2 linked regions of the Lepisosteus oculatus genome follow. The protein of the gene in region 2 purifies or fractionates together with the protein of the main gene of each other region. This does not show direct contact. Links are inferred from orthologs where the notes say so. Each region holds a gene or a part of one and is shown on either strand. Other genes may lie near its edges.

What was found. Proteins that work in one complex are often made in the same cells at the same time.
Region 1: the proteins of smc2 (region 2) and ncapg2 purify together in Homo sapiens (affinity purification with western blotting; 4 studies listed by BioGRID and IntAct, with this or other methods). This does not show direct contact. The link is inferred for Lepisosteus oculatus from reciprocal best matches to the Homo sapiens genes SMC2 and NCAPG2.

The regions. Positions count from the first base shown.
Region 1 is NC_090701.1:12,797,309-12,807,546, forward strand, and holds the start of ncapg2 (condensin-2 complex subunit G2), read right to left. Parts: upstream 6,246-10,238; 5' UTR 6,141-6,245; intron 4,800-6,140; 5' UTR 4,771-4,799; coding exon 4,693-4,770; intron 2,549-4,692; coding exon 2,357-2,548; intron 1,416-2,356; coding exon 1,301-1,415; intron 919-1,300; coding exon 761-918; intron 126-760; coding exon 1-125. UniProt on the Homo sapiens protein: Regulatory subunit of the condensin-2 complex, a complex which establishes mitotic chromosome architecture and is involved in physical rigidity of the chromatid axis.
Region 2 is NC_090696.1:71,820,254-71,830,491, forward strand, and holds the start of smc2 (structural maintenance of chromosomes protein 2), read right to left. Parts: upstream 5,026-10,238; 5' UTR 4,886-5,025; intron 4,795-4,885; 5' UTR 4,685-4,794; coding exon 4,517-4,684; intron 4,305-4,516; coding exon 4,155-4,304; intron 4,028-4,154; coding exon 3,905-4,027; intron 3,712-3,904; coding exon 3,673-3,711; intron 2,806-3,672; coding exon 2,695-2,805; intron 2,608-2,694; coding exon 2,563-2,607; intron 2,287-2,562; coding exon 2,053-2,286; intron 1,390-2,052; coding exon 1,240-1,389; intron 325-1,239; coding exon 91-324; intron 1-90. UniProt on the Homo sapiens protein: Central component of the condensin complex, a complex required for conversion of interphase chromatin into mitotic-like condense chromosomes.

The sequences.
Region 1 (10,238 bases), on a different chromosome or scaffold from region 2:
TTAATGTGGTTCACACTGAGAAAACACTGCAGCAGCAGGTCACTTAAACCTTTACTGTCTTCTGAGTCAAAGCTAAAGGTCAGAAGCACTTCGTGGAGATTCCATAAGCGCTGCAAATATGTGGCCTTCGAATGCAAAAGAATATGAAGCGTCAGAACAAAATCCCCAGTAGCAAAGAAGTATTATATTAATCATTTATTCCCTTCAAATAAACGCTCAGATCTCAGTTTCACAGGATGTTAGTAAAGTCTTGCATTAAACTTATGTTTTTATTGTCACAAAATATTAGACAATGTTTTCATCAATAATAAAATCACCTAAAAATTAATCTTTTTTACAGCTAGAAAAATTAATATTGACTTTCAAGAAAAAAACATGTTCTTATACTCTTGTGTGCGTATGTGTAGGCATGTATAGTTTACCATCTCCTATAATGAATAGTAACCTATGCGTTACAAAGGGAATTCAACTTCCTAATAGGCTGCAATATATTCAGAGTTGTGCTCGGCTAAACTCTAAAACAGGAAACCAATCCAAGAATGCAATTTACTACATTGCACACTATATCACTGAGGTAGGTACAGTATCTATACAAAATGAGTTTAGTTTGAGATTGAACTGAATGTTCAAAGATTAAATGAACACCTATTACTTAAAACTGTAACACTATTTGCAAAATAAGTGTATACAGCACATGAAAGAATAAAGTGTTTGTGTCAGCCTATGAAACCGAATAAAAACCCATTCTTGTGTACATTACCGGGTTCTTTAGTGAAAGACTTCTCTCCAAAAGCCCTAGAAAAGCGCTTTTTCCCAGCTCGTCCTTTCCTTCCAGTCCTTTCTCCCACCACTGCTCACAGAAGCGCTGAACTGAAGCTTGTACCACCATTTCCGAGGGCGGCACAGCACTCAGAATCGCTGACAAAAAGTCACAACAAAAAAAACTGAGCACTCCTTATTTATATTCCTACCCCCCTCTTCCATCACCTGAAAAATAGACTAAAGGTCGTGGTAAAATTCCCAATTAAAGTGAGAAATAAAATATACTACAGGGAATCAATGAAGACTCCCCTGGCATGGTTGATAAAACATGACATTGATGATACTAACGCCAACAACCAAGAGTTGGACATTTTGGACTATTACCTTAATTTGAGAAAATCTTTCACAGGCTAATCTAGGGATATGAAATATACTGTTTCCTGCTACATCAGGACAAAAGACTGTAGTTCCCTAAATTTTAAGATGTTAAGGGTTTATTCTAAACTACGTTTACAGTGAATAATCCAGACTCACTTACCATTTAACATATGGGCACACCCAAGCAGAGCATCATAAGCATCATCATCTTGCATTACAGTTATTGAGGCAGTAGCAACAGCTGTCACAGCCTCGATTATGGCCATGGTCTGTTTCTAAGTAAAGAAGGGGAAAAACTGAAGCAAGCAGACATTTCAAATTCTTTAAGAAAAGGATGGACAAAAAAGAAGCAGCAGTTTTTTTAATGGGGTGATCTGACAGGTGATGCTGGAAGTGTTACGGATCATTTATGATTTTGATGTTCTCACTTGACTACACCTTTTCTTGAGGGGCCTGCAATACAAACTGTTTTCTATGATACAAAAATGCCTCTTTCATTTTTGAACGAGGCGCCTTATTTTCACATCAGCACAAATCTTAGGCACACCTTCTGTCTATGTTAAAGCATTTTTAATACCATGTAATCTTTCTGTACACTGGCAATATACAGTAACACCCACATATGTATAGACTTGTATACATGTATACACCATAGCTGTATACACCACGTCCTGTAAAAACCATGAAGATAATGAAATGCTGATTGGGTCAAAGAGGTGGACTATTGAGAACACCTCACGTTTTGTCATTTTGGTGTTCATTTCTCATCATGTGACACCCCTTTAAACACACCCTAGCTAAATTTTGTTTCCCCGGTTAAAAAAAAAACACAAAACAAAACTGTTAATTATGAAATAAGACAAGCTGTTTTGCACTTAACATCACGACCACCTTGCTTTATCAATTATTCCGGCAGAGCGGCACTAATTACTCATCCATGATCACGTCCAACTTGCATTTTAGTCATGACGTTCATTATGTATGTTTGGTTAGGCATTTATTTTTGACATTAGTTGATTAATGCATCTGACTATACACTTTCCAACAGAACAGAAATGTCTGTGCAAGCATCTATATATTCAGAGGGCAACACTGGGATCTAGTGAAGACAGAGAGAGTGGCAACTGCATTTTAAAGGGAGGGTATACTGTGAAATCAACCCCAATAAATGCAGGAGGGGGAAAGCAAAACCCTCATTATCTTCTTCTATACTTACTAAGGCCGGCGGAAGTTCCACTTCCATCTCATCCCCACTGTCATCGTCCAGTCCCTGGTTCCACTGCTCCACGGGGAAGTCCAACAGTGACTCGGTTAAGAGCGCTTGCAGCTTCCCCCACAGCAGCTCCTTCTGCTTTGTAGGGAGCTCCTGGATGAGCTCCGGCAGATCGAAGGGGTCCGAACTGTCCTTCTGTAAGAAGAAACGAGTAAAATACGGGTTTAAGGGTGCATCCCAATAAACTCATATACTGTAGTATCACAAAGGGAAACCAGGATACAAGAAGAAATATTAGACGGCTGTTTTCAATATACAGCCCCTAAGACCAAACCTTAAATCTCAAGAGATTTTAGAGAATTGCATTTGATAATTAAGCTACTCCTCTCCATATTGTTTTACAAAAACTGCCCAGGGTACAAGAAAGAAACCGGAAATGTTTGACCTGGAAGAGCCTGGCTTTTCAACAAAAAGAATAGAAAGTAACAAATGTAGAGTTATTATGGAGACCTTGAAAACATTTAACCCAGAGAACCAGGTGGCTAAGATCATGCAGATCATTACACTTTCCAATCAAGTAAATCAAGGGGAGTAAATCACATACCAAAAAAATCTTATGAAGATCTTCTCCAGTTTTACAGTCCCTTTCAACTTTTGTATTCATGTAAAAGTCAAAGAAGTAATGGCAAAGAACAACAGAAAATACTTTTGCCCACTTACATTTTCATTCAATTTAAACGTCATTAGCAGTAGGTATTATGTCGGTTCATTAAGAGGTTGAAGAATTTATTAGGAATATTCAGCCATATAGGTCGATTTTGATGTTACAAAGATGAACACGGCAGGCAAGCAGACATCAGACGTACGGAATGGTTAACAGTGAGCACTGGGATAAAAGTGCTTTGCTTTCCTTCCTTTTTTCCAGGTTGCCATATTCTATCACATAAATTGCTTAATATATGTTAATATATTTTGCAGCCAGACATGTTGGCTGCTCTGCTGAATAGGCTGCCCACAGTGCTATGCAGCTTCATACTGTAGATTTCATTACATGGACTGTGCTTACCCAATTGTCAGGGAAGCTACAGTACCTGTATACAGTGACACTGGAAAGAAGGATTAGGCTTTTAGGAGGAGCCAGGGAGGAATATTCTAGTTTCACATCTTCAAGAAACAGAGCATAGCAAAGATATTGTGGATTGTTATATGTTACTTTTATTTTTTTCTGTAGTTTACATTAAACAGGACAGCACGTATTGAGTAATACACTTTACATGTACAAAGCATTCATATTTCCAGTTTGGGGGAAAACTAAATAGTCTATTAATTCAAGAACTATCAACTCTGGTTCTTAAATAGCTGTATATGATATATTGTGGGATTTATGAAAGGCTATTTTCCCCAATCAGACTCAGCTCTGACTTGATTGAAAAGTATACCAATAAATTCCTTAAATTGTCCTTCTTGTTTTTCAAAGAAGATCAAATTTACAAGAGTTGAAAACGTTCACATACAGTACAGTGCAAAAGTTAAATTTAAGAAGTGGAAAAATCAAAACATCAGCAAATTTACCTTACGAGTTGACCTAAATAAGAAGGAACTCTAATGAAATAACATTAATAGATACAGAGTTAGCCCTGGACCAGGGATGAGAAACCCAGGATTGGACAATGCTCTGGAGTGCATTTCATCCAGGTAATTAGAAATTTGGACCCGTGACATGCAAAAGTTTGTTCTGTCTAGATCAGTGATTCTTAGTCCTGCTCTTGAGAGACTCCTGCCTCTTATTGTTTACATCCCAACTAAGCCCTTAACCACAAATATTAACTAGTGGTTGTAATTGATCTTCTTGCCTGTTTAGACTTTTTTCTGCACTCAACCCTTGGTTTCAAAAAGTAGCTAAAGTATATAGCACATTATTCCATCGACATCAGCATACTGACCTTTATGCACTCTCCTCAAACTGCTAATGAAGAATTTGCTATCTTTCCTCTAAAAAGCTCTTAATAGGCAAACCTTCTCTAATGAACAGCACAGGCAGGAATGACAACGTACAGTATCAGAGACTCCCACGATTCATCCTAAATCTAGATGGTTAAATTAAAGAAAAAAAAATATCAACTAGCCTGCAATTAAGAACTTAGCTGGAGATGAACCCAGGAGGCATGCTGTTTCCACAAGATCAAGAGCAAAAACCACTGGTCTGACAAACAACAATCCACTATTTCACCCTCAATCAGACTGTAGACAACCTGCTGTGTGGCTACAAAAGGAATTTCAGTTTCCAAATCTACATAATTCCAGCGTCTCTCATTGAATTAAAAGCCTGAAATACTTACATGGAGTTTTAGGAATTTCAAGAACTCCTCCACATTCTCTTTGCTGACTGAATTTAAAAATTCCTCTCGTTTTGTCATATTTAGATGCCAGCACCCCAAGTGCTTTGCTGCAAAACAGTGAAAAATAAACACAAGTTGTGTCACAATAGAAACAAAATACATGGTCCAATAAATCCAAGCTGAGAAAAACATGAAAAATGACATTTATAATATACCTATTTTAATTTTCCAACATAGAACTCTGCAAATCGACTATTAAATCCGTAAAAATGATTGCAAAATGTAAATGTACACATCTAAGCTATTTTGGACATAATATAAACTTTATCACCACCAATATTCATCTGCATTAAATGTTAAAGTATGGTTAAATTAGCATTAAATCCCGTTTTAATGCATTCTGAATAATGAGAACAACATGTTATTAGAGATGCAATTCAAGCAGCAAGCTAATGCTAACCATAACAAACCAGGGCATTATGATACAGTAGAAGTCTGTCCATCTTAATGGTTCAACAACACCCAGGTTACAATATACTGTAAGTTTGTTTAAATAATACCATGTTATTAAGAATAATTATCCTATTAAGCATAATAGGGCTTATTAATTATTATATGACTTTGATTACATTTGCACTTCATTCAATATATGGCATCCACTGGAAAATGCAGCTTTGATCGGAATAACTACAGTTATGTCACTAGTACTACAATTGAAAAAATGCATTAAAGCATCCCACAAGGCCAGTTCTGTTTTAAATGTAACGTCAGTTTTTAGGTGGCAGCACATTTCTTAGGTGTCCTAATTCCCCTCAATTTAGAGAGGTCTATTTCTATTTCAGTGACACCGTATGACAGTCGACAATGTACTACAATCTCAGGTGCTTTCAAGAGTGACTATATTTCACAGAAATACGCTGCTGATTTACGTGCAAAGGGTGATTATCATGTTTACAGTTTAAAAAATTGCTTGTTCTCTCTGTATTTTGGGACTTCATCCAGTGTAAGCTGAGGTTTGATATATCTGTTGTCAAAACATTTTTGAACAAGCACTGCTATACTGCAAAGCAGCTAATGAGGACTGATATTTGCAGTAGCGCTGTACATAAGTTCGGAAACAGAAGTAAATAGAAACCTTCCGTTTCTAGTGCTGTTTGTCCTTCTGGACAAACCCACCACTTTATCTAGATAACAGCATTTTACATAGTTCACAGCACTCGATTAACTAAAATAATACAAACCCATTATCATAGCAAAACATGTTCAGTCATGAACGTGATGTGGAAATCATATTATGGTGGAGAAATCAGCGTAACGTTGTATGATCCTTTGGATAACAAATCACACTTAAAAAAATAAATATAAAAAAATAACAATGAGCGGAACAGCACAAATCATTTATTTAATCGTCAAACGGCTCACAAAATTAAAAGAAAGGAGCTACTTACCAGCAACAATTCTTTCCAGATACTTTTGCTTTTCTCGTCCCACTACCCTAAACAGTTTACAATTGCCGCGCAAAATTGAATTGACTTCTTCAACTTCCGCGGGTACCTCGGCCGTGCGCGCCCTCGCGTGCGTTCTCGAGAGCGCGCACGTCCACACGCAAGCGCATCCTGGAGTTGGAGAGATAGGGGTCCTCTTGTGTCGGAGTAGGACTTCAGCTCTGTTGGTAGGACTGTGAAGTGAGGAATACCCACTTTTACTTTTCCACTCGCTGCAAGCTGGTGCTCGGGAGCTTTTGGAGGCAAATACAGTTTTTGCTCTCACATGTATGCAACGTATAGGGTCAAAATTTTAATATTTTGTCATTTTCCCGACAACAAAGATACATTATATTTAATACAATACAGTCATTAGTTAATTTAAATTTTAACCTCGTTAAAAAAATACATTAAAACATATTTTTGATAGGTTTGGAGCACAATTTTGAATTTCTAGTGAATCCAGAAATTCAAAGGCAATTATAAACCCTACATTTGCTCCGAATATGGCACTAATGTTATAAAACTATGCAGACATTCACATTACAATGTATTAACAAGAGCATTTGGAAGCGAATGTGATTTCTGGTAAAATCGTACTTCGGAGTGCAATGCATAAATAGTTTGGTTGGTGTCTCATTTGCATGATTTAAAATGTTGCATCTCCATGGAGTACATGAACAATTTCATGGTGCAGCTTCTATATATTTCACAGGTGACTCTACATCATGCCATGGCGCATGAAGTTAATATCGACAGCTCCTCGCTGAATTCAGTTTATCCTCCATAAATCTGCTTTTGTTAGAAGGACTTAGTGTTCAAAATAACCCCAAAAGACTGATAAAAGACATACAGTTTAATTAGCACTATTGTTCAACAAGGGAGACAGTACTTCTGTGGCTATACAGTAGGTGGATGTCACATGGAAGGAGTCACTGTGATATAAGGTCATGTCATCCACAAACAACTTGTTCATGTTCATGGACACCCTGTGGCGTCCATTGGGACAAAAAAAAGGAAAGCATTTCTTTTTCTGTTCCCATGTTGTAATGCCTTTTGCAGAGATAAATGTGTCCATGCTAACTAGCAGATAAGGCTATCTGCTACACCGCTGGCATGAACTGTCTCTGCGGAGTGAATAGGCAAACGAGTCTCTTCGGTGTGGCATGCAAATCAACCTCCATTAAACATCTGGGGGATTATTTCGAGTAAAAAAAAGTCAGCAGCACAGCAATGCAGTCAGCTGAAATGGCTGCACCACAACAGAGACCATGCCCTAAACACCTACATCTGAAAAGCACAATATTTGTGCTTAAATTAGGTAGAGTTAGGCTACCAAAACTTAGAGGCCCAACGAAATCCATCCTCAATCGGACTCCTTGGCCATGTACACCTCTAAAAGAGATTGGTAATATCCATCCATCCATTTTCTTACTGAGTCTTCCAATTCTGGGTCATAGGGGAGCCAGAGCCTATGGGTGCAAGGCAGAGTACAACTGCAGAGTAATGGGTAATGATCAAATTAATTTCTTCCTTGTGTTCAGGTGGAAGTGAAATGGGGATGAGTAGTGCATTGCTGCCTCAGAGCTCTTGGGTCCAGCTTGAACACCTTCTGTGTGGAATCTGCACGTTTCTGCCCATGGGCTGATGACCATCTAATCCAATCTCATTTCATTTTATTCTGGGCATCCAGCATACTTTATGAATCTGCCTAAAGTCATGTGAACTATTAATACGCAGATACGTCAATGAAGTGTGATAGTGAAAGTATGATACAGTACATGTACAGAAGAGAAGTTATGCACTGTATGTCATTACAATAAATCAGTACATGTTTTTATTAACATTTAAAAAAAAGGTTGATAATTTCCATAATGCCTCTGTATCACAGATCAGAGTCACAAATGTATTTATAGTGTATCCCGAGAGATTTCTTACTATTAAACATTCTCGCAATACACAGACAAATGTGTACATATGGAGATAGACAGCCAAAACAAATAAATATATCAGAATCTTGTACGATATACTTAAGTGTTTTAAGGATTCCTGCAAATGCCCAGCAGTGCTTGCACCTGAACTAGGGTAATTTTGCAGAACTAACTTCAAAGGAAAATGAAGTAGGACAATCTGTCCAGAAGGTAAAACGGGTTGACAATTTTATCCACTAGATGTCAGTGTAATCACACAGACATGCCTTTGAAAATTGTGTATTAGTCTGACTCAACACAGCAGCTAGAGCTTTTCCTATTAAGTCATTATTTTAGTACACTTAATGTACTTTAGAAATGTTTGGGAAAAAAGCAATGTCTCAGCTTTCAAATTATTTGTGGGGAAATTTTTCTTTGTGACCTTAGTGATTTACACTGATTTTACAGGCTTTGAGATGTTTTCTGTCTTTAAAATACTGTATCTTCAATTCATATGCAGTATAATGGATATATTTTTTATCTTGCTTCCCATTTTCAGAATTCAGATATTTTAGTCCCTCTTTACTAAAAGAATGCCACAATTCCATAACAGTTCCATAAAAAAGTAACTTAATGTTACACGATTTGCGTGGAGAAGAGTTTCTCTAAAATCTTTGACTTAAAAGAATATAGTTTTGTATTGACTTTCAGGACTAAAAGTAAAGCAGAATGAAGCACTTATTTTCGCAACGGATTTTTGGGACTAAAAAAAAATCTAGATCTGTTTTGACCCATTTTCCATCCTAGGGCTTTTCCACCTATTCTCAGACACATCTGTTAATCCCTGGATTAGTTCTTTTGCTATTGCCATAATATTCTTGAAACAGCCGTGTCACTTCCGTTATTTTAGGAGCCCAACTGAATGAATCTGTGAAACATCATACATCAAAAATCATACAGAATCTCCCTAGTGCACACTTTAGCAGAATCATCTGTGATCCATTTCCTGGTATCTTGAATTACAAAGTCCTGAAAGACACTAAAGCACCTCACCTGAATAATGTGATTGCCCTGTTTTCATGCCTACTGTAAATACCAGCTTTTTGTATGGCTCCATTTTTCTAGTCTCTCCATTGGCCACCTATTGCTGCACGGATCCAAAACCTAACCATTATGCTCCCCCACATACTGTGTCTCTAACATCTTCTGTAACCCCTTGTTGTTTCCCACTGTTTTTCTCCTACCTCCCTCCTCAGTGGTGGAAGGAGTTACACAGAGAAATGGGAACTGCTCAGTCATTGAACACTTTTTGGGTTTTTGCAAAAGACTAAGCTTTAGAGCTAGACGCAGCTGACCTCTCAGCTCTCAACTACATCTTTCAGTAATTCTTACACTGTGTTGCACTATATACTGTACACTATGCAGATGGAGCACTCACCATCACCTTAATGGCACTCTGTATTCTTTAAAAGTGGCTTCTCAAAGTGCTTTTCAGTAAGAAAAAAGCACATAATGAAATGAAACAGCAGAATTACACAATTACAATGAGGGTTTGGCAAACATTAGAAAAGCCATGGTACAGAAATAGAACCAGTTAAATAAAAGCCCTTCTAAAGAATGAGGTTTTGAAGATTGAAGACAGAGAGGTGACCATGCAGAGCCATATAGGTGAGCATGAGGATTTTGAAGATGACACGAAACCTGATAAGAAGCCAGTGCAAGGACTCCAGGACAGGAGTAATGTGATCACTTGCACCAGACCTGGTAAGGATTTTAACTGCTGAATGCAGGGCATACTATAGTTTGTCCAGTATGAATTTATATATCCCGGCGAGCAGGGCGTTACAGTAATGAATTTGAGAGAAGACATAGGTGTTTGCAGCTTTTCAGCAACAGTTAGCGACAACATAGGATGTTTGGTGATCTGCTAAACAAATTATAATAGTTAGCCATGCAGGATGTGAAAAAGGCCAAGTTACCATATGCAGATGTGTATTTGCCTGGAGCTTCCTTTGGTTCCTGCTTTATCATGGTCATAATCATTTTATAAAGCTCCTTTCTTTGTATACCAGTTGTTTTTTCCTTTTTTTTTCTTGTTCATCTTCATCATTTGTCCATTCATTTTAGAATCATAGCTTCATTTCCACTTGTC
Region 2 (10,238 bases):
AATGGGGAGTTGCCTGCTTTAGCCTATGCGTTCAACTTACCGGACACTCCTGATCCAACCCCCCAGCCCCCGGAGCGATGACAGTGGTACCTGTTTGGCCTCGGTGTCGGCTTTGCTCATGTCGTTTTTGCAGGTCATCATCTGCCCCGCCAGCGTGGCCGCCGCCCCGTCCTCGCTGCCGGACAGGCCGGCGGACACGGCGTTGAAGTGCTGCTGGGCGGCGGCGAGGGCCTCCGCGTCCTTCCGGCCCTCCTCCTGGATGGCACGGAGCTTCTCGGTGATCTTCTTCGCCTCGCTCTCCTTTGCCGCCAAGACCTTTTGATCCTGAGGGTGAGGAAAGCTGGGAACAGTTAGGTCCTGCCAATTTATTATTTTTTTTATGTGCTTAAGGGACAGAAAGTAACAACGGACTTGGTTCGAGACCTCTGGATTCTAACTCACAGGGAGATTTTCTTCCCTGTGGTCAAAGTGAAACGTAATTTGAGTTTCGATTGAGGACTAGTCGAAAAACAGACCACTGATATTATAACTGGCCTAATGAGTGCGTTATCAATTTCTGAAAACCGCAGAAAATCTTGATGGTAAACTATTTCAAATGTAAAAGGTCTCCACATACTGCAGAAGAGACAGATATCACTGAGGAATACTGGCAATCATCTACATGGTTGAGTGATCATGTCATTCTTTAAAGTAGACTTTGAAATTAATTCAGACATTGATAGAAAATACCACATGACTGAGAGGGTGTTTGTACCTACAGCCGATTAAGTTGGGAACACTCTACAAATAGAACTATTCATTTTGAACCACGAACCTCAAATCAAAAGTTGATAGTTACTAATCGAGAGGAAAATGCTTTATTTTAAAAGCAAAAATCATAAATGTATTCCAATTCAACCCAAAAATACGGAACTGTGATTTTCATTTAGTGTGCCAAACTCATTTTTTTCTGAATTACAGGCTACAAAAGCAAAGTCCTGGGGCCTTTTTTTACAAAAGCTTATAGTACCCAGTGACATTCCCACTTAAGTTTTCTTGAGTAAGGTACATGGGTTTTTTAATAAACGAGTGGTTCAGGTTGAGACTTAATATTGACAAAAAAATGTATCCTTGAAAAGTAGACTCATACCATGCAGTGCCGGTTTACAGACTGCACACGACAGTTTCAAAAGAACATCTTTCGGCTCAAAGGAATCAGATTTCCACGCTTGACCGCGTGTCCTGTTTTTTGTGCTTTACCTCTTCCATGCTTTTCACCAGTTCTTTGCGTCTCTTCTCCTCCCCCTTAAGGTTCTGTTTCTTCAGATCCAAAGCACTCTGGGTTTTGGCATCCACTCTCTGAACCTCAGACAGGGCGTCCTGCAGGGACTTCAGCACGCCACCCACGTCCTAGACGCAGCACCATTCACAGGAAAGGAACGCTTTCAGAAGCTGACCGAGACGTCAAAGTGCACATGTATCCAATGAGACTCATATTTGTGCGAAACGATATAACGTCCATTCATCCATTTTCTAACAGCTTTATCCAATGCGAGGTCGCCACGGTCTATACCGGCAAGCCACCGGCGCAAGGCAGGATGTGGATGGGAGCTCAGTCCATTGTGGGGCACAGACAAACACAGAAACAGACTCACGCCAGGGCCAATTTCCACAGAAACCAGTTAACCTACCAGTATGTCTTTGGACAGTGGGAGGAAACCGGAGCATCTGGAAGAAACCCACATAAATGCAGGGAGAACAACCTCCAAGCAGATAGCACCCCAGGTCTGGAATTGAGTCCAGGGCCTCAGCACTGCGAGGCACCGAAGCTAACCACAGTGCTGCCCACACTTCAGCTCCTACTGTATATACAATATTTCAGTTCTGAGCAATTTTTAACTTATTTCCTGCAAAGCACCGCATAAAATATTTTCCTATCAGGAAGGACTTATAAAAGAAAACATTGGCCCACACAACCCGAGTTTCCATAAGGATTTTGCTCTCCTAAAAGCCATGAGTCTCTCTTTATACTCCAAAACGAACAATCAAAAAGCGAAGAGTGAGCTACAGCACCTGGTCTCTCTTGTCCTCCAGCCGAGCAATTTCCTGAGAGAGCTCCTTCACTTTCTTCTCATTGTCTGCCATCTTCTCCCGCAGCTTGACTGTGCCATCCTCCAGCACCTTCAGCTCTGCAGCCGACTTGGCTTTGGTTTCCTCGGCGCACACAAATTGATAGGCCACATACAGGCGAGTAAGATGCTCCATTTCCTTCAACACCTTCTGATACTCAAAGTACGATGATCGTTCCTACGAAACAAAGGCTTAGAAGTGGGTCTCAGGCCATGTACCTCTTAACTTGTCTTTTTCAAAACAGCCACTTTTTTTCCTGTTGTGAAAACATATACAAATGGGCATAATGATTCATCAATGATTCCAAACTTCTTTCACTGTTGTCATTTTTAAAAGATCCGCGTTTTAAGAAATACCTAGAAAAATAAACAAACCACCAGGAGTGCTACAGATTACAACCTACCAATGGGAAAAACACAATTCTGGACCACCCCATAACCTGGTAGGACTTACCTCCTTCAGCTTCTCTAGAGTTGGTGTGATCTCTTCTCTTAACACCTGTCGAAAAACACAAATATGTGGTTATTACTGTTACCATTCAGCCAGAATGAAATGAAGCTCTGCACACTGACAATGATACCGTACCGTCTGGATCTCTTTTAGCTTGCCCTCCTTCTTTTCAATAGTTTTCTGCGCACCCATCTTTTTGATCTCATACATCCTGGTGCCTGCTGCTTCTTCAATCATTGCCAGGATCTAAATAAAGAATACTCATCAATCCCAAAGACTAGGGGTACTACAGTACTACATCACACCATATTCCATGTTTTCAATGTTCATTTATAGCCACAATCTCTATTTATAATCTTATTGGCAATCGTCTTTACTTCATCCCCAGTTTAGTTTAGCAAAACCAGTTTTGTGCCCTCTGGGTATATACTTTTGATATCATTAAACTACAACTTCCTGTCAATATTGTACTGTATGTGTTGAATAACTATCTCAGGAGGGAAAAGTCTCAGCAGATAAGATATTAGCAAAAAGGGGCTCGCTTAATTTTTTATTTAGTCATTTTAGGGGTTTTAAAAACGAAAAAAATCCAAGGCAAGTTTGAGGGCATCATGTGACAAGCTAAATAGAACACCAATAACACACTATCGCCTCCAGTCTCCTATTCATTTATAAAATACACACTTGGGGATTTGTTACTTTCTGAAAAGTTATAAACTGGGTTCAAGAATGCTATTTCCTTTTTTCCATTTTTTATGGCGTTTTCAAACATAAAAATACTTTAATTCCTCATTGACATCAGTTCAGTTCCTACAGACCTACAGAACAATTAATGCAAAACTCTACCTAAATCAGTATAAAATGCTGCTATCCGGTTACAGTACATTAGATTAACTGAAATGTTTATTTAGTTACACTTTCATAAACAACACTGTCTTCTGTCCAGAAATGTTAAGGTACAATAACAAATATTTGTGGGTTGTTTTCTCATGGGTCTCTCCTGTGAAATATTTTAACGTGCAGATTTCTGCTCAGAGGAAAAAAAAGATGGTGGAGCTCATTCTGATTCCCTGAAGGGAAGAGATGCATAAGAAAGCAGCAGAGCTGACTTACCTCCTGGGGTTTCATGTTCAAAACTTTCGTAATTCTGCCCTGAAAAAATCAAAAGTGGTCCCAAGTTACTCGACACAAACATACCTTAACACAAACTATGCGTTTACAAGCAATTCCGCGCACATGTTAAGAAATTGCGCGTTAAAAATTCATCCTTCAAAGCAGGTCTTGAGATAAAATTCAAAACGATTCATAACAGGGACGTACAGGTATAGCTATCAATTATGCTCACCTGCATAATCAGAAAATGAGGATTGTTGACATTGAGCCCAACGGAGCAGAACAAGTCTTGTACCCGGTTGTTGTTGGCATTTACCCCATTTATGAGGTATTTGTTTCTCCCACCAATGACCACCTTTAAAATAGACGGGGGGGAAAAAGCACTCAATACAAATCTCATTTATTAAACGAATGCAATGCATTCTGAAAAAAAAATGAAACATACCAGAACTGCAGTCCGGGCTAATGATAAAAACAAATACCTGACGCGTAACAGTGATTTCGTCGTGGGTCTCAAACCCAAGGGGACTTTGCTTCTTGTCAGAGTTGTCAAACGTAATGGAAACAGAGGCCTTAGTGATCCCAGCTTGACCGTTTTTGTAGACCAGATCCTGAAGATTGGACGCTCGCACCTAAACGAGATTTCCAGGGATGATCTTTCGGTGACATTTATAATATATAACGTACTCCCGGTTTCCCCCCGCATGCCTAGGGACTAGCATAAAACACGAATTCATACTGCATCGGGGTGGGGGGGAACACACCGAAAAAAAAAAGTGAACCGCACAGTAAAAACTAGCACTGCTCACAAGCTAGTGCAAAGCGTACGGGCACCCGGCGCTACCTGAGTCAGGTTGGAAATCCCGAGCAGGAAACAGATGGAGTCCAGGATATTGGACTTGCCACTGCCGTTCAGACCGGTGATAGCGTTGAACAACGGGTCAAAGCCATTGATCTCCGTTCTCTGGGCGTAGGATTTGAAGCCTTCTAAGATGATAGATTTGATGTACATCTTCGTTTCAACGTTTTACAAATTCAACTCCCCGATGAACTTCATCCGCAGCTACAGGAAAGTTGTATTCTAGTGTCACCTCCCGAAGCCTTGTTTCAGCTCTCGATTACCTGGGATGAGGTGAAAAAAGGCATAAACGGTTGCTGTTATACATTCGCTTTCAAAACTGCGTTTATTTTTACCCAAAACGTGAATACATACCTCACACAATAACAAAACGCCACTGTTCCCTTACTCTTCCTGTGTTCAGCGAACTTGAATTTTGGCGGCAGGCAGCGCTGGTCCTCTTTGGTGTTCGATGCGCCTGAAATAATTTGAAAAGCGGTGTAGTATTACAGGTTTGATTCCTTTAATGTATTAAGTTAGAGATATATATTTTTTTCATTATACTGTGTCTTCCTAAAAAAATTTTTTTTTAAAAATTGAAATTCAACCATTGTTTCATTCAGGCATTATTTTGCCAGCTAAAAGGAAAATATTTGACGTCAGGTTGGCGTAGGAAGAGTCACTGCTGATTGGTTGTTTTGAGTTGATTGTCCCGCCTGCGTAGCGCTTTGAAAACAGAAAAGAGAGAAACCGATCAGTTATATATAGTGCTTCTATTATGCTACTTTGTTAATGTCGTATGGTTTTAAACAATAAATGGCATGTTTATTTGCATAATATGATTGGGGGGCAGCTTTAAAGGAATTCTCTGTAATTTAGTTAAAAATATATAATATAGCTGCGGAGTACGATACATACATAATTGTTGTAATGCGGCACAATAAGGACAAACACATTTTTGTTCGAAGCACTTCTCTGTTTCAGTTAAGGCAAAAAGACATGCCGCTTCAAATACCTCAGTTTGCTCTACGGTTGTGGTTAAGGGGGAAAAGTCCTCATTTCTCTGAAGGATCCGCACCCCTGGCTGTTAAGGGAAACCTTTGTTACCCTAATTTCTACCTCGTCTGCGCATATTTCTCAGCCTGACATTAACATCACCTGTATTTCAGTTTAGGTTCCAGTGAAATGAAGAAATGAGTGAACATTTTTATACCGTATTCGTATTAAATATCTATATCAGTCCCGTACAGGTGGTTGATGTCATTCAGTGGCGTTCACCGTTTACAACGTGGAAACTGCAGTCCTCCCTGTGCCATTTTGGCTCCGATTACTCGTGCTCATCAAGGTTGGGTGTAGACGACGATTGGAGCCAACATGGGACCAGTTTCCTTTCTTGTTTTTGTTAATATTATTTACCTGTATTAAGATTAACGTTTTTTTAATATTGAATTCGGGTTCTCGGGCTTCTGCCCTCACATGGGCTGGAACCCGGGTCTTGCCGGCTGAGCTAAAGAAGACTTTCTTTAGCCCGGGCGGCCAACATCACTGTAATGCGCAGGGGCGTATCCTTTGCTATGTACTTTAATGTTGGCTGTATGTGGGCATTTTTTCCATTCTATTGTAAAGGTTCAATGTTCTGCACGGGGTTATGTGAACTGTAATGATATTTAATTGTAATGATCTTAATGTTTAAGCTGTTCAGTATCATTTTCAGTCTGTGCAAAATACGATAAGCTAATTATATATTACAATATAAATCCTTATCCTAGAACCTTAATTTTAAAAAAGGCACTTTTCCTCAAATGGTTCACTAGTGTGAGTACATTGCTCCTTTCATCCAAGCTACAGGTTTTGTTTAATCTTTGCAAGTGTTTTACAGTCGCAGACTTTATTACAGAAATCTGTTGGCACATGAAATACAGAAGAAAACAGCCACTGTGTGGCAGCAGTACATTACAGTTGTGTAGCACATATTATTCTTTCGTAGAAATTGATTCTGTTTTGTTAAATGTCTTACAAGGGAATCAAACCGGATCTTACAGTGATGTTTTCTGGTGCACAATTACCCTGTTGGGAAAACTAATTTCATTTTCCATCTGTCTGCGTTATGCATTTTAAAACAGGAAATGACTAAGTTTATTCTTTAATCTCTAGAGCAGCAATATTCTTTGTCCAGCATTGATAACAATACTGAACACTATTGACTTCTTAAATTTCTATTTCTATAATGTATACATATAACTTTACTCTCCTTGATAACTTTCTTTATCATTTTCAACTGGGTACTTTGTATTGTGTCTTAATGATTATTTGTCATTTGGCCGTTTTCTATTGGTCTGCATCAACTGAGATAAACTGAGCAACTATGATCTACGCATGGCAATTTATGGTGACTGATATGTTAATACGACATATATGTGACATTTTTTTTACCCTACTTTAATTTCTGAAGAGAATATCCAACGCATCACCAGGACGGCTTTCTTTTGTCTTTGTAACGTTGCTCAGTTATATTAAGTTCTGTCAGTGCCAAAATTCAGTGGGTTCAGAACACAGCAACTGACTGAGTACTGACTGGGTCTGACTTTGTCAAACCCTCTGTCTTGACATTCCTGTTGAATTTCATATAGATGCCAAGATATCACTCTTGTTTTTTAAGGCCCAGAAGGGAGTACCACACCGTTATATTTCTGACCTCCTAAGAAGGGTACCCCGAGCCTGGTGCGGGTCTGTAGTTTACCCCTTCTTAGAGGTTATGAGTTGCTGTCCATAGAGCCTTTTCCTTCTGTGCACCTAGGTTACTGTATGTCCTACTCTTCCCAAGAAATCAGGAATTTGGAGGAAAAGAAAAATAAATCAGAAAAAGAACTGGCAACCAGACAGTCATCTCGATTTCCCTATTTTGCCAAATTTCATCCTGGTGGCACAAATGTTTAAAACCATACACTGTAGAGTGAAAGGACCAAACACTTGGAGTGCAGAAGCAGTTTGTGTCTTTGGCTGTTTCCTTGTCACTGTTTAATTGGTGTTGAATGTCTAAGTTTCAAGGTAATGTTGTTTATACAGGACTAAATAACGGAAGCAATTGTCTGGCAGCCACCTTGACTTATGCAGGTACTGTACTTTATTTTCTCCTTTGTTCATCCTGCATAAACAAATCCTGTTACTAGTGTTATACTGTACCTATAAAGTTTAGAGTTAATTAGTCGAAAGCTTTTTGTAGCAGAGGAGCTGTTATTATACAGTAGGTCTTGTCTCTCCAACCATGCAATCACTCAGTGGGAAGCTAGAAAGAATTGGTGCAGTCTGTGAAGTACACTTTTGAAGAAGATCCGCATGTAATTAAATCCTCCATGTCTCGAGTCATTTGGTATATCAATTCTTAGACAATGGTCATTTACATTTTGCAGACCAACTTATTCAGGCAGCCATTGTGATTAACATACTGTAGAGCACCATAAATGAATTGTCCTGTCACATCTCACCAAGCTAGTGGATCAGTGTAAGCAGCAGAAACACTCAACAGTCTTTGCAACAGTTAAGGTGCAAATGAGAAACTGCTTTTTTTTTTTAAATCTTCCTAATTTAATTTAAGATGGTTTTGCAAAAGGAAATTGCAAAAAACTTTGCTGTGACTCAGTTAATAGATTGTATCTGGTTGGAAGTAAAGTTAAGAGTCAGACCTTATTGAATAAAATACTGCTACAAGACTGTTTAAATCTGCTGAATTTCTGACACTGCCTCATTTGAAACGTACTAATACCCATTTTTATTTTGTTTCTATGACACATTTTAGCATTTTGAAAAAATATAAAAAATGTGTGAATGAATTAACCAGTTTTGATCTGATGTTTTCATTTAGAAGCTCTTTAATACAGTATAGTACTGTGGATTAAATGTAGACAATGTGGATGTTTTGCAAAACCACACTGATTAACACATTTTTTAAAGTTCCATCTGTTCATTTAACTTCACTTATATGTTTTCTTCTGCCTGCCTTACACAAATTATGGGTAATTAAACAGAATCATTTAAATTCACAAAAATGTACTTGCTTCTCTGTTGTTCAAGTATAATCTTTTCTTTTCAATATTAACACACCTGGGTGAATTTAGGATTATTGCATGCACAATATTTGACCCAACAACCCAAAATACAACTAAATATCTAAACATTCCAGGAAAATCTGCATTGTTGGGATGAAGTTTCCATTTAGGAATATTTATGTTGCTGTGAATACTGTGAAACTAATGTTAAGTAACATTTTCATCATGAGATGGCCTGAGAAAGTGTGGTGATTCACTTCATAAATGTGTACCTTTGGGTGTTACATTACCGGAGAAGCAGATCTAAACACCTCTTTGTTACAGATTGGCTCCGTAGTCCGTCTCGGGTGTTGTGTTTAGACTCCTTGTGAAGCGGCAAGAGCTGAAGGAAGCGGGAGACGTACTGTAGTTCGGGGAAAACACACAGTGGTTTAATAGTGCAACAAAGTAACTGTGACAGTTCGTGAAATGGTGAGCAGGGAAACAAAGACTGGCGTCCAAATCCAAGCAGGTCCGAAGGAGGGTCAGGGCACAATCCATGAGTCCAAAACCGGGAGACCCAGCCTGAGACGACACAAGGTTCAAATCCTTGTGAGTGGGAAAACACGAACATACTGTACATATCCAGGGATAACGGGGAGAGGTCAGGCGATGTCGGGGATGAGGCCTATACCCTCAGGCATCCAAATGCTAATACTGAGCACTGGAGGGAGATAAAAGAAGGCACACCTGGAGAATGCATTTCACTGTTCATTCTGAAGAATCCACTGGGTTAATTCTGCCAGTGCCACTGAGGACCTTGAACACTTGTATAGGGCCTCCTTGTAGTTTTCTCTGTTAAAGTATAAAAGGGTTCTGGTTGCTCTTCTCTGAACTGATTCCAGAGAAGCAATATCATAATATCTTTTCTATAACGTTGTGACCACAGGTGTCTACTACCCACCCCCATACCCTCTCTCAACAACCAGACAAGCTTCCGTTTTGTTGTTTTGTTTTGTTGGGGAACATGGAAACATGGAAACCCCTGCAGAGACACTGACTCTCACAGACATGACTTGACAACCCCTGACATACTGTAGAGACACCAACAAACCTAATCAGAATCTCTCTGGGAGGTGGAAGCGAACAGGAAGACCTGGAGAAAACCACACAGGCACAGGGAGAACATGCCTCCCAGAGGACTACCAGGCAGGAATTAAACCCAGGACACTAGCGCTATTGAGAGATCACTTTATTTGCCTCATACAATTTCTTGTATTAGGAATTTGACTTCTCGCATACCCCAGCTTGCTCTCCATGAGACACACAGACAAAGAGAGAAGCTTGGGGTCAGAGCGCAGGGTCAGACATTTATACAGCACCCCTGGGTATGCGTGGGATATGAACCAGCAACCTTCCAGCCACAGGCGCAGATCCTTAGCCACAGGGCCACCGTCACTAATCACCTTGCTACCAGGAATCAGCTGCTGAGGAAGAAGATCCCTGGCCTTCCTTATTTGACATACTGCTGCTCAGACCCAGTCCAAGATAAACAAATTGAAGAGGGCTAGATGGATAGATTGGATCAGCAGCAGGAGTGAATTATACAGTATTACCCTGAACTCCCTGCAGCTTTAGGCTGCCTGTGTCTTTATAACTTACAGGTGGTCTGTCCTTCTTAGGATCTCTTGTTATTTAGCCTG